3 linked regions of the Oryzias latipes genome follow. The protein of the gene in region 1 binds, or shares a complex with, the protein of each later gene. Links are inferred from orthologs where the notes say so. Each region holds a gene or a part of one and is shown in the gene's direction. Other genes may lie near its edges.

The links.
Region 2: the proteins of fga (region 1) and fgg are in contact, whole or in part, in a crystal structure (PDB 3GHG), measured with the Homo sapiens proteins. The link is inferred for Oryzias latipes from reciprocal best matches to the Homo sapiens genes FGA and FGG. Residues at the interface, in NP_000499.1 of Homo sapiens: Trp60, Asn61, Lys63, Cys64, Pro65, Ser66, Gly67, Met70, Leu73, Ile74, Val77, Asn78, Phe81, Arg84, Ile85, Leu88, Ser91, Tyr95, Asn98, Leu105, Ile109, Ile112, Asp116, Ser119, Arg123, Asp124, Tyr127, Val130, Ser131, Asp133; in NP_068656.2 of Homo sapiens: Thr47, Thr48, Cys49, Gly50, Ile51, Ala52, Asp53, Leu55, Tyr58, Gln59, Val62, Asp63, Leu66, Gln67, Leu69, Glu70, Leu73, Thr80, Ile87, Ile90, Gln91, Tyr94, Glu98, Asp106, Ala107, Ala108, Thr109, Leu110, Ser112, Arg113.
Region 3: the proteins of fga (region 1) and prothrombin are in contact, whole or in part, in a crystal structure (PDB 2A45), measured with the Homo sapiens proteins. The link is inferred for Oryzias latipes from reciprocal best matches to the Homo sapiens genes FGA and F2. Residues at the interface, in NP_000499.1 of Homo sapiens: Trp52, Pro53, Phe54, Cys55, Ser56, Asp57, Glu58; in NP_000497.1 of Homo sapiens: Phe382, Lys384, Ser385, Gln387, Leu423, Arg425, Tyr434, Glu439, Lys440, Ile441, Ser442, Met443, Lys470.

Annotation. Positions count from the first base shown.
Region 1 is NC_019876.2:1,414,537-1,418,673, forward strand, and holds the start of fga (fibrinogen alpha chain), read left to right. Parts: upstream 1-1,308; 5' UTR 1,309-1,333; coding exon 1,334-1,344; intron 1,345-1,423; coding exon 1,424-1,601; intron 1,602-1,753; coding exon 1,754-1,858; intron 1,859-2,900; coding exon 2,901-3,084; intron 3,085-3,166; coding exon 3,167-3,312; intron 3,313-3,395; coding exon 3,396-3,494; intron 3,495-3,570; coding exon 3,571-3,723; intron 3,724-4,137. UniProt on the Homo sapiens protein: Cleaved by the protease thrombin to yield monomers which, together with fibrinogen beta (FGB) and fibrinogen gamma (FGG), polymerize to form an insoluble fibrin matrix. Fibrin has a major function in hemostasis as one of the primary components of blood clots.
Region 2 is NC_019859.2:20,796,645-20,801,011, forward strand, and holds the start of fgg (fibrinogen gamma chain), read left to right. Parts: upstream 1-1,412; 5' UTR 1,413-1,484; coding exon 1,485-1,547; intron 1,548-1,622; coding exon 1,623-1,670; intron 1,671-1,751; coding exon 1,752-1,938; intron 1,939-2,074; coding exon 2,075-2,159; intron 2,160-2,626; coding exon 2,627-2,757; intron 2,758-3,020; coding exon 3,021-3,154; intron 3,155-3,240; coding exon 3,241-3,425; intron 3,426-3,583; coding exon 3,584-3,861; intron 3,862-3,953; coding exon 3,954-4,132; 3' UTR 4,133-4,367. UniProt on the Homo sapiens protein: Together with fibrinogen alpha (FGA) and fibrinogen beta (FGB), polymerizes to form an insoluble fibrin matrix. Has a major function in hemostasis as one of the primary components of blood clots.
Region 3 is NC_019860.2:10,383,377-10,387,625, reverse strand, and holds the start of prothrombin, read left to right. Parts: upstream 1-1,294; 5' UTR 1,295-1,425; intron 1,426-3,920; exon of another isoform or gene 3,921-3,980; 5' UTR 3,981-4,045; coding exon 4,046-4,118; intron 4,119-4,249. UniProt on the Homo sapiens protein: Thrombin, which cleaves bonds after Arg and Lys, converts fibrinogen to fibrin and activates factors V, VII, VIII, XIII, and, in complex with thrombomodulin, protein C. Functions in blood homeostasis, inflammation and wound healing.

The DNA of each region.
Region 1 (4,137 bases):
TCAGGGACTGGACCCCCGAGTGTAGAACTGCCCACCTCGGGGGTGGAAAGCCATCGTCTGCCTCCACCTGGTGGTGGGATCAGGCACACGCAGGGCAAATGTCACAGTTTAGAGGCATTTTATCACACAACATGTCAACTGTCAACAATGGTGAGAAACGCCAACACAAGAATGACACAATCATTTAAACCACAACAAAAGACAAACAGAGAAAAAAAATGACTTTAGATTCATTTGTAACCCTTGTGCTATCCTATGGGGTCAAGATGACTTTTAACGTGTTCTCCCTACCATGACAAAGGTGGATAAAGGTGGAAAGATTTAATGTAATCCATGGACACCAGTGAAGATCACAAATCATTGAAGAAAAAAGGTTCAGAGCACTGTCTAGTGGGTCTAGATGACCCAACTCCCAATGTTAAAGTGCCTAGGATACCACAAGGGATAAACCAGAGTTTGCGTGTTTCTTCTGCAAAGCCATGAAGGTCTGCAGTGTTTCTGCAGAGAAATAGTTTATACAAGACGACAAACTCTAACGATGTAGTCCAGAACTAACTAGTGGCCTGGATGTTAAAAACCATTCAGACACCGTGCTCACTATTTTGGTTGTTTTAAACAACAGATATGACGTCACTGATTTCACAAAGTCAAAATCTACAAATTAGGATCATTCAATGTCTTTCATATATTGGAATAAAGCTTTGACATGTCACACCACTCCAACTGTAGGTGGCAGACATGTGCTAGTATTGGGCAGCGCCAGTCCAGCTCGTTCTAGAACCTGTGTTCAGAGCGTTCTTCAATGTGCATCACATGCCTGGTGTCCACGCATCCTTAGACAATCAGAGTGTAGTTAGTGTGGACATCTTACGGGCGTCCGATGACCACCTATTCATCACACTCGGCATTCGCGTGATGTCATTAACGACTAGAGTGTGGTGTACGACACCCACTTTCATTAGCCTTACTGCGCCGTGACAATGACGTCCTTTGAAGTGTATATGAGACTCAAGGGAACTGCTCTGCCCTTAACATGCAGCGGCTCCTCTCTAGGAGGACAAATAATCTGTGTCAAACATAAAAAGGGGGAAAAAAAATGTTTTTAAACTTATTAACTGAGTATTTGTGACAAAGCTTTTGTGACAAAGCTTTTCAGGGGAACCGAGGTGACCTGAGGTCTCTTTAAAAGACTTGAAACATGGCTTTTACTGGCTCAAACGCTCATGTGACCAAAGCTTGACTCTGCAAGTCTCATTCATCGTACAGGATCAGTCACAGGATGAGTCGGTCCTGTTTACCATCAGGGAAAGTTTGCCTTTGGAGGACGTGGAGGATGGGCTGCTGGTAAGCTGTGCGTGTTTGGGTTCACAGATTGTGTACTTTGCCACAGCAGGACAACAAACAGCGACGTATCGATCAGCAGGAGCCGTTGCTCAACTCTGATGCGACCTGACGGCCGGCGGCTCTCTGGTGAGTCACAGCTTTGGTGGAGGCCTTCAAAAGATGTGACTGCAGCTGCGCAGATGCAGTCAGACACAGAAGAGAGAAGGATGAAGCAGCTCGTGGTTCTCACCTGCCTGCTTTGTGTGGCTTTCACACAGGTGAGACACGCCTCTCTGGAGGTTTTAAGTGTTGCTTCTTTTTTGAGGATCCCAGAGAACCTTTAGTTTGAACTATATTTCCGTGAGCTTTGGTCTCTTTCTGACGCAGTGACCAGCCTCTGGTCCTCACAGCCCAGTCTCTGTTGTTTCAGGACACCGTCATCGACCCCAGAGGAGCTCGACCGGTGGAACATGGAACCAGAGACGAGAAATGTGCCACGCAGAAGGAGTGGCCGTTCTGTCTCGACGATGACTGGGTACTCTTCCTCGTTTTACCGCCTATTCATTCAACACACGGTCAGAGTAGCTGAAGTAATGGTCCGGGGGAGGAATGTTGTGGTTTTCCTAAAAACCTCCTCAGAGACTCTTTTCCTTTTCACGATTCCCTTCGAAACGGTCTTTGCAGTACGGAGCGTTCGATGAACTTAGCCGTAACGGATAAACGTTTTCTCAAGAATCGACACACAGCCTCGTCATAACACATGTCACCAGGTTTGACCCCCCCTTCAACCGAAAACACAAAGCAAAGAAGGGAACCACTTCAATAAAAACAGAAAAACAGCTGTGAAAACTTTGGATGCACAAGGAAATTCTGCTAAAACAAACAATTTACTGACGAAAATGTCTTCGTTTAGCGATCGCCTGACATGCTTCCTTCAAAGATACAGATGATTAATGGTCAAGGGCCATTGATAACTGATAATTGCACCCAATAAAAGTATGAATATGGGTGTCCAAATGTCAAACAAAAGCCCCAACATTTACCTTTCTTTAAACACTGTAACCATGTTATATTTTGGAGGAACACGGATGACAATAATCTTTAGCATCTCTATACTTATGTTGGACTTAAACTCATTAAAATGTTTTTGGGGTATAAAAGGTAAAACCTCCTGACTTCTGTAAGGGATTCATGTTTGCTTTAGGTTTTGCTAAACGCTCAGTTCATCGTCCTTTAGGATTCGTGGTCAAGTCTTCAAGGTCATTCTGCTCCTTTCCACACTAAACCATCAGAGACAACCAATGAACGCGCTTCCTCTAATAATGTCATTTCCTGTTTTTTTTTATCTTTCATTCGTAGAGAAAAAAATAAGCAGACAGTCTTTGTCCTGCAGCTTTAAATTGTATATTTTAATGCATCATTTGCAGAGATTTAAATGTCACATTTTTTATTTTGTTTATATTTTTTTTTTTGGGGGGGGGGGGGGGGGTTACTTAAACCCTACAAAAGTTGATTTAAATTCATTTTTCTGTCATTTTCTTGTAGTGTGTTAATTTGACCCCTTTTGTCCACCGTAGGGCCACAAATGTCCTTCCGGCTGCAGGATTCAAGGTCTGATGGATAAATATGACCATGACCTGCTGAAAAGGATCGAGTACATCCGTGACCAGCTGAATCAGCACAAGGGAAAGTATCGCTCTGCCGACCAGGTGTCCAAGCAGACCCACGACTACCTGCGGGAGAAACTCACCGTCGATGCAGGTCAGAGTCAGAAAACCGTCTCTTCTCCTCCTGGATTTGGTGGACAGGAAGTCCCATCGGTTGTGCTATCGTCTCCAAACAGGTCACGACAACAAGTACTTCGAACTGGCCCAGAGTCTGCGTCAGAGAATCACAGAGATCAAAATCAGGATTGACAGACAGATGAAAGTCATGGCCGCCTTGAAGGGGCGAATCAGGGAACAGGTCACGGAAATGCAAAGGCTGGAGGTATGGAGAGAGCGCAACATCTACCTGAACCTAAACCGGTTCATCTGTTGGTGGTGACGTCTGTTGCTGTTGCTCTCTGGCAGGTCGACATCGACATGAAGCTTCGCTCCTGTAAGGGATCCTGTGCAACCTACCATGAGTACCAGGTGGACCAGCAGAGCTACGTCACCCTGGAAAAGCAGGTGGGGACCGCCGCAGTTCCACCACATCAGTGAGAAGACCTGCTTTTGAAGGTCTCTCTGTCTCTCTGTCCATCAGGTAGCCCAGCTGGACTCGCAGACGCCACAGAACATCGAAGCAGCCGGGACGCTCTACGTGATGAAGAGCCGGCCGCTTAAGGACCTGCAGGTGGACAGCATCTACAAATCCAAGGCCGTGCAGGGTCAACAGAAACAGGACCTGTTCAGTGACGTAAGCCACTATTGACCACCCAAAAACACCTATGTGCCATTTTTCTTCAACGCAACAACAAATAGTCACAGGATGAATTTTTGGCTAAAGATGTCTAGGATCAATTTTAGGTCAGTGGGTTGTTCACAATGAACCGATATGAATCGTATCTGCGACCACACATTATGATATAATCCCAAAATGAATCGTCACACCCTATCTTAACCCCCAACACCAGAACTGAAGGTCTAACCCTAACCCTAACCCTAACCCTGATTGTTGATGTTCTTTGAACCACTGGGACTTCAACCATTTACGCAATTAACGTAAACCGAGGAATTCTGACGCTGAGGAAAGCAGCTTTACGTCAACATGCAACACTTTACGATAGCATGCTAGTAGCTTAAAGTGTTGCATATCGGTGCAAAGTGTTTT
Region 2 (4,367 bases), on another chromosome or scaffold:
TCGGGATGTATTACAACTTGTTGTGATAGTATTTGCCAAGTAATGCAAAATGTGCTAAAGAACATGCTAAGCACGGGTTCTTGAACGCGATTTTAGCATACAGTGTTCACACTTGACTGTTGCTACCCGATACTTGTGCAAGTAGTACTCATAGCTGAAAGAGGCTTGCAGCAAAATGTCAAAGCAGTGCAAATCTGGTGAATCTTGCTCCAAGCTTTTTCTTTCACATAACTATTCTGATATATGATAGACTTGCTGTTATAGAATTCCAGCCGGGCACAAACCACAGTTATTAATTTCTCCTCCTTCATAATTAATTTTCAAATGGTTGGCACTTCCGTGGGTTAAAAAGGACACTACCCATAATTCACTACCAAATCCGAGTCTCTGATTGGTTCAAAGTTCAACTGGTTTAGCTTTCAATGCGCGTTCAAAGGCAGAGCGTTTGTACATAGAGCCCAAAATCGGATTTAAAAACATGCAAAGCTATGCATGAACGTGATAGCTTCAAGCGTGCATTCACATAGACTTTTTATAGGAAGTGGTCGCTTGAACGAACGCACGTCGCCAAGGTCAGTGTGAGCGTAGCAAACTAGCCATGCATGAAGATCAGTTTTAAGGTGTCTCTGCTGTTTTCCTTATTACAAGCAGGACCACAATTCCTTCGAGGTGCTTTAGAAATGAGTTTCTGTTGCAAAAATTGAGCAGTAATTTTCATATTATTATCAAGTCTCGATTAATACAATAACTTTTTCTGAAGACAATCAATAGGAACTCCATTTTGATACCTGACATGTGTTGTGTAATGATTCCTGGGATAGACTAATTTAATTATTTTTAAAGCTTCCTCTTTGTTCTTATATAGCATGAATACTTGTAGAATTGCTAAACAATCTGCATATGTATTGATAAAGTATAAATAACCCAAAAAATGCTTTTGATTGACATTCATTTAAGACACCAAAATTTAAATGAAATGGCATGAAACAATATGAAGCATAAAACTTTAACAAAACGTTCCAGTTTTATGAATTTGATCTTGTTTTCATACTTTTGGCAGCACATACTGTGTGCATGTAGACCCTGCAGAATGCTTCCTCGTGTAATGACAGATGGACTCAAGCAAGTGAAAACAAATGATTTGCCTTGATGTGATGAGTCATGTTGTGATTCTTTTTCGATTTCCCGACTGCAGACGAGCCATGTTCCAGAAGATGCTGAGTCATCCTCACCTGCAGTCAGATTTGCACAAATATAGCTTGTGCCGGAAGGTTGGAGCTGTGTTCTAGTTGGTAAACTTTGAGAACGTCACAACTTTGAAGCAACCCCTGTTACACTCTGAGTCACAGATCTGTGACAACAAAGTGAGTGGAATGTTTACCCATGAACCTTTACCAAAGTCTGACCCGTGGCCACGTACAGATATATATTCCCCCAGTCCAGGCACCCCTTCACTCTCCAAAAACACAGGAAGCCAGAACAACATGCAGTCAAAACTTCTTGCCACTTTGGGAGGATTTCTATTACTCTTCTCCCTGGCATCTGCAGTGAGTTCAATGATTGCAATTTTTTTGTTGTGAGAAAAAAAAAAATCAACTCACCTAATCTGTCCTGTTTTATAGCAAGTAAGAGGAGATAATCTGGGAACATGCACCACAAATGATGGCTTTGTGAGTACCAAACTTGTGTCATGTGTTCATCAAAATACATCTTTTTTTCCTTTTTAATCAACTTGCCTTTTTTGATTCTAGGGAAAATACTGTCCCACAACATGTGGAGTTGCTGATTACTTCTTCAAGTATTTACCAGAAGTGAGTGATATTTTGGCGGAAATGCAAAAAGACCTGGACATGATAGCTAACTTGACTGAAGGAGCAGAAGAAAAAATTACATACATGCGAGATTCAGCTGCTTCAGCCCAGAAGAGCTCCCAGCCAGGTGAACACCATGTGGTTTTTTTTCCAAAAAAGATAGAAAAATGTTGTTTCTCTCTTCATTGGTTGGTTTCATAAATTCTTTCAAATGTTACATGTCGAGCTTAAAATAAATGCATACGTGGTTGTTTTCATTTCAGAGCCTCTCTATAAAAGGTCGTCAAGTATGCTGGAAGACGTTCTTCGATTTGACAAGACAATTATTGCACAAGAACAGCAAATATTGTGAGTAAAACAGAGGTTTACGTCTAACTGCAGGATTTTAGGCGTCAGTTCTGATCTCATAGACACTTTTAGTAGTCTCAGCACTTCAGTATCATTCTATTTTGTTTTAAGTTTTTTTTATTTTTGGTGTTTTTGAGGATCATATCTACAGTTATGCTAACATGAGCTGCTTATGTTGTAGAGAGTTGAATTGTTTTCCTAAGAAAAAGGCTTCCATCATCCTGTTATGGGATATCATGTAGTCAAAGCTAAAGAGGAGGAAACGCTTGTCTTTTTTACTTCCTCACAGAACGTTCAAAAATTGCACCACTTTCTATTTTTCTATTGATGTTTCAACTACTTTTTCTCCCAATCGCCACCAAACATCCCACAGACGGATTTGCAACCCAAACATTTTTCATCAATAATCTTTTTTAGCATAAGGAAATGATGACTCAGAGTCGTCTTGGGTGTCCCTGTCTCACCAGTGAACTCCAGAATGTGATCTCCTCCAATGAGAGAAGCATGGCAGACCTGAAGCAGCTGTCCATGCAGCTTCAGCAGAGATGCAGCGAGCCCTGCAAAGACTCCGTTGAAATCCAGCCTATCACAGGAGCAGGTAAACACTCCCCGTGACCCTCTGGCCGTTCCTATTTCATAAGGAGTTTCTCAATCGGGCCTGTTGTGAGCACTTTGTGTCCTTGTTCAGGGTTTAGTTTTCTGCCAAAATCAATAAGCTACATCGAAGCTTTTTTGTTTTGTCTTAGAAATAATCTTCCATTACTTCAAATTTGGGGTATTCTTTTAGGCATAGACACAAATGGTCACGTCCCACGAATGCATATTTTTTTTCATTTATGATTGTTTGTTTGTTGTTCTCAGATTGCCAGGATGTTGCAAATAAAGGTGCCACCACCAGCGGCCTCTACTATGTGAAGCCAGCCAAAGCTAAGGAGCAGTTCTTGGTTTATTGTGAGATTGACAGTGTTGGGCGGGGTTTTACGGTACTCCAAAGAGTAGGTACCCATTTTAATCCTGCTATTGTTTTTCCCACACTCAAAACAGTTTTTTTATCCCAGTCCATTTTCCTTTTTGTCCGCAGAGACGTGACGGCAGTGTGGACTTCAGGAGAGACTGGGTCCAGTACAAGGAGGGCTTTGGCTATCTGTCTCCGGATGACACCACCGAGTTTTGGCTCGGAAATGAAAAGATCCATCAACTAACTATCAGCACCACCATCCCGGTTGTCCTCAGGATAGAACTTGTTGACTGGGAGGGCAACAAAAAGTACAAACGAACACCCACGCACTATGACAGATTGTGTAACAGGAGCAGAGAGGGACATGATAAAACAAACATGACCTCTCATTGATGTGGCTGGAAAATGTAAATAACGAGATCTAAGCTGGTTCAAACGTCTCACTTCTTGCTGTCTCTTACTCCAGGCACGCTGACTACGCCATGTTTAGGGTAGGCTCAGCAGAAGACAATTACCGCTTGATGTATGGCTACTACTTTGGTGGCGACGCAGGAGATGCTTTCGATGGTGTTGACCTAGGAGAAGACCCCAGCGACAAGTTCTACACGTCACACAATGGCATGCAGTTTAGCACCTTCGACAAGGACAACGACAAATATGATGGCAACTGTGCCCAGCAGGACGGCTCCGGGTGGTGGATGAACAGATGTCACGCCGCTCATTTGACTGGAAAATACTACCAGGGTACAATGACTCTAAAAGTGGTTACTTCCATGTTTAAATGTATAAATAGGTTAAAAACATTAAAATTTGGAATCTGCGTTTCTGTCATCCAGGTGGAAGATACACGGAAAAAGATGCGGGTGAACACGGCTATGACAATGGCATCACTTGGCTGACGTGGCACGACCGCTGGTACTCGCTGAAGGAGACGACCATGAAGATCATTCCCCTCAACCGCATCATGTCAGGAGGAGAACAGCAAGCTGGCGTGAAAACGTTTGGAGGACTGTGAAACCGTTAAGTGTTCTGCACTTAGGCCTCCTCAGATCAAGTATTCAGCCACCAACTATCACGGTGTCACTGTGTTGTTGACCATTGTGGAGATTTTTGCCAAAAAGAATTTTCGGTTTCTTCAATGTTGTTTTGACCACTAAATACATGTATTTTCCTTACCAAGTCTTGTTTTTTTTTATTCTTTGAAAAGTCATCAGTTCTTTAAGTCCTTAAGGCTAAATTCAGGCTTAAAC
Region 3 (4,249 bases), on another chromosome or scaffold:
TGCCTCATTAAAAGCTGGACTTTACCGCAGCCCCTCCAGTCCGGGTGCTTTATTTCTTTAGTTTACACTTTCTCTTCCTTTCTCCATGGGTTGGGAACGTAACAGATTTGATATATTATCCTTTTTTTTTACATTTTTTATACTAATTTTGCTTAATAAATATATTCTATAAAGAAACTTCCTCCAGGATTGGAGAAATAGTGAGTTAAACTATTGTTTAACTCAAGTCTGATGTCTTATCTTAAGAATCACTATATAAAGTGTACATTTAGTAGAAAAGAATTTTAATTTGTGCTTGTAAATAAGAATGAATCTGTTTATGTCTTATCATCTGAAGCTCTTTGGCATTAAAGTTAGCCCAACTTCTTGTTTTGTGTTAGCCAAACAGGTTTCTTTCATGCTGCTATACTATCTTGGAAAAGCTTCAAGAGTTTTTGACCAACTAAATATTTTTAAACCCTTTTAATTTTTTCCCTTTGTGAAAATTTGTTGTTTTTATTACAGTTTTGAGGGAATTTCAAAATGTTACAGGCTGGTTTTGATATTTTAGTTTGGGTCTGTACATTAACTATCTGCTCCGATGGACCCGAAATCGAAGTTTCAACATTTTTTCTTGCCATAACAAACGTTCTGGGAGGAAAACTATTATTTTCCTCCAGGAACATGTTTGAATTTTTATTTTTTTATGTTTAAAAGGTATGTCTGATATGTATGAGGCAGCTCAAATGTGAGAGCCTTTAGTTCTAGTAGGATTCTTCCTGCTCAAGGCCGGATACGGGCAAGGTCCCCCCACCAAATTCTGCGATCGTCACCCCCAAAAATGTGATGGCCCACAAAAATACACAGCCAAAAAAAACAAACAGACAAAATGTGACTGCCCCAAGCCCGGTAAATGCAGAAGATAGTGTCAGTAAAAGCATTCAACATAAAATGTATAAAACATACCAAATACATCAGAGAAGAAGATAGATACACACGGATGGACGCACTATAAAAAAGCAGTAATTCATGAATCACTGAAGGCAAACTCATTTGGAATTTCACCAAATTTCTTCATACGTCGAAAACAGACAACTTTTGTGTCTTTTTGTGTGTTTTTTTTCTCATTAAACTTCCAATACTTATTTAGTAATGTTGTACTGAAACAGCAGGAATGAGGTCAGAGGAACAGAATGCAAAACAGCACTTCTGATACACACAGACGTAAGCTGGTATCTTCACACAGCCTTGGAGATAGAACACCACACGCTGTGTACAATGAAAAATGTCTTGTATTGATAAGCCACTGCAGTCGGAGGCATTTATGCTTTGTGCTGCACTTGTACAAGTCGAGCCGCCATGCAGAGACAAACCGTCTGCTCTGGCCTGAATAGATAGGACTAAAAACGTCTCTCTCACAGGAAATCTTTGGATGAAGCCAAAAAGGTAAGGACTGATTCCGCCATCAGAGGTACGTTTTTCCCCATAAGAGTCAAAATAGGATGAAGTTCATCCCTGCTGTTTAAAATCAAATGTTTTGTTCTTGAAGGATGGCTGCAGGCTCCTGAATGCTCTTCCCTGAGATAATCCTTGCATTTGTTGTTTGTTCACTTATGGTTGATGAGACTCCAATCGAAATCTCAAAAGAATTACTTGTGGGGTTTTTTTTCTTTGAGAATCTTCATTGAAATGGGAAAAATATTTGTTCTTAATATCGATTAATACAGATGCAAACTCTTCACATCTAAAAAACCCCCAAACTTTTCAAGTTTGATTTAAGTTTTTCTCTGTATTTTCTAGTGTTAAACTTTGTTTTAATAAAGTATGGTTGTGTAAAAAAAAAAAGCCTTTATGAAGCAAACTTCTTGACAGATCAATGTGTTTGGGCTCTGCAGAGGGTTTTGCAAAACTGGAAGAATTAAAGTATTTCGTCAAGAATTGTTTTGTCTCATAAAGAGCTGGGATCTAGAAATAAATAAATTATTATTAACATGAGTCATAATCCTTTTCTCCATAGGCTACAATAGGAAATTTTGATTTAAGACTAAAAAAACTAAAATTCTTGATTTAAGAATTGTTCATAAGACATCTAAATGCATTTGATTTAACAGACTTAGTATTTAACACGGAGAAGCCACATTAAATCTTTCAGAGAGTTTGATAACATTGTAAAAAGTAGATTTATGTTCTGAGATTAAGGGCTAGTTTTAGATTTGATGAGGATTTATTAAGATGGGCCAACTTTTGTTCACACTTTGTCCTAAAATGAGTCATTTCCACTCATTACACTGTTTTTTTGTAACTGTAATCAAAACTGCAATTCATTCAAATATTTATCATTGGACTGTAAAACATTTAACTTTCAGTAACTCTATCAGGCAGCAGCTTTTTTAGCTTATTTTTCTCATTTTTGAATGCTTGTTTGGAACTTCTTGTTTCTAAATTTCCTATGATAAGATTTCTTGTTAAGTAAAAATGACTTATTGCATAGACAGATATTTTACTGCATTCTAGTGATTATCTTCTAAAGAACAGCATTTATTTATTTTTAGGCTACCCCTTTTGTCTTATTCCTATATTCTAATCAGTCCAATATCCTTTTTTTTTGTTAAATTCAGGATTCAAGGGGTTTTTATTGCCATTGTCAGTGAACAAAGCAGTTTCACAGACTAGGAGTTTGCTGCGGTGCCAATGTGCCACATACAACACTTAGGAATAAAAATGAACAATAGTAAGCAAAATAACATAAAAATGACACAATGGTCAGAACAATAAATAGAAATAAACAGTGCAAACAGAGGATGAAGAAGGTGCAGGTAACGGACTGGTAACTGGACATATAAGTGAAAAGTTTAGGGGGGGGATTAAAAAGGGTTCATGAGTCGGACTGCAGACGGAAAGAAAGAAAGGTTCTGGTCCAGATGGACTTTAGCCTCCTGTCCTAAGGGAGTGGTTCAAGTAGACCATGACCAGGGTGAGAAGGATTGGCTGCTATCCGACCTGCACGCCTCCGGGTTCTGGAGACGTATAGGTCCTGGAGAGATGGAAGACTGCAGCCAATCACCTTCTCAGCTGAGCGCACAATACGTTGCAGTCTGTGTATGTCCTTACTTTCATGTTGTGTTTTGTTATATTGTCTGTAGTCTACTTTTAGGTGGTAGGGCAGCACTTTAGTAATTTCTGCATTGTGTTTTTAACAATCAAATACTTTTGTTAACTACTTTGTGGCAACAGAAAACGAATTCCTTTAATGACGTTCAAAATCTAAAGATTTCAGTTTAAGCAACTAACCAGCCGACGGACCTTATCTTGTGTATCCAGCCGGATAAATATTTGGTCACTGAGTCACCTGGGTGCCTGAACTGTGGAAAACAGCTGCAGCACATCAGTTCTCCCTCTTCCTAATCTTATTAAAAAAAAAAAAAAACAGCCTCTTCACTAAGGTCAGAAAAGAGTGTGACCTTTTACTTAAATGGCTGCTCTTTTGGTGTTTTTGACAATTGACTCCCCAGAAGTTCACACAGGAAGGAAACACAGATAGAAGTCATGATTTCTTTTCATTGGCATTTTATAATGGAAATTCTGGCTAAAGGATACTTTCTCCTAAAGCACTGAATGGTACTTGCTCTGAACACTTCACACAAACAACCAAAGATCTAGAATTAGTTTCAAAATCCAAAATGTTGTCAGGCTCAAAGCTCAGATTTAGCCGTTTATCCTGCTTTTTCCCAATAAAAAATAATCCACCTTTAATTATTTTGAGTCCATAATCTTTGTTTTCTGGGAATACTTTGGGGTTGAAATAGCATAGAACCTTTTCAAACATCAACAACATTTGTATTCAAAGACGAGCACCGGGGATAATGACCATAATTGTGGCTGAAAAGACTTCCTGTTGTATGAAACCGCATCATCTCTGAGAGCATGTCCACATTGACGGAGTGGATCCATTCATCAGCCTGACTCATACTTTGACCCTTCGGTCAATACTCTCCCCACAGGGAGCTCAGAACTGAGCGCACGGAGACACTGAACGCTGGTGGATCTGCTTTTGAGCTTTCGGATCATGGTGGAACCGACCCTTCGCACCAGCGCCGTTGTGCTGCTGCTGATTCTGCACAACTGTGCAGCAAACCACGGTACTAAACCTTTGCTCTGTTCTTTGAGGTTCTGCAGAGAGCTGCAGCTCTTAGGAGCAAATATAATGGTGAAACTGAAAAACTTAAAACACAGTTTTAGGTGCTTTATTGTCTGAATCATATATTTCTGT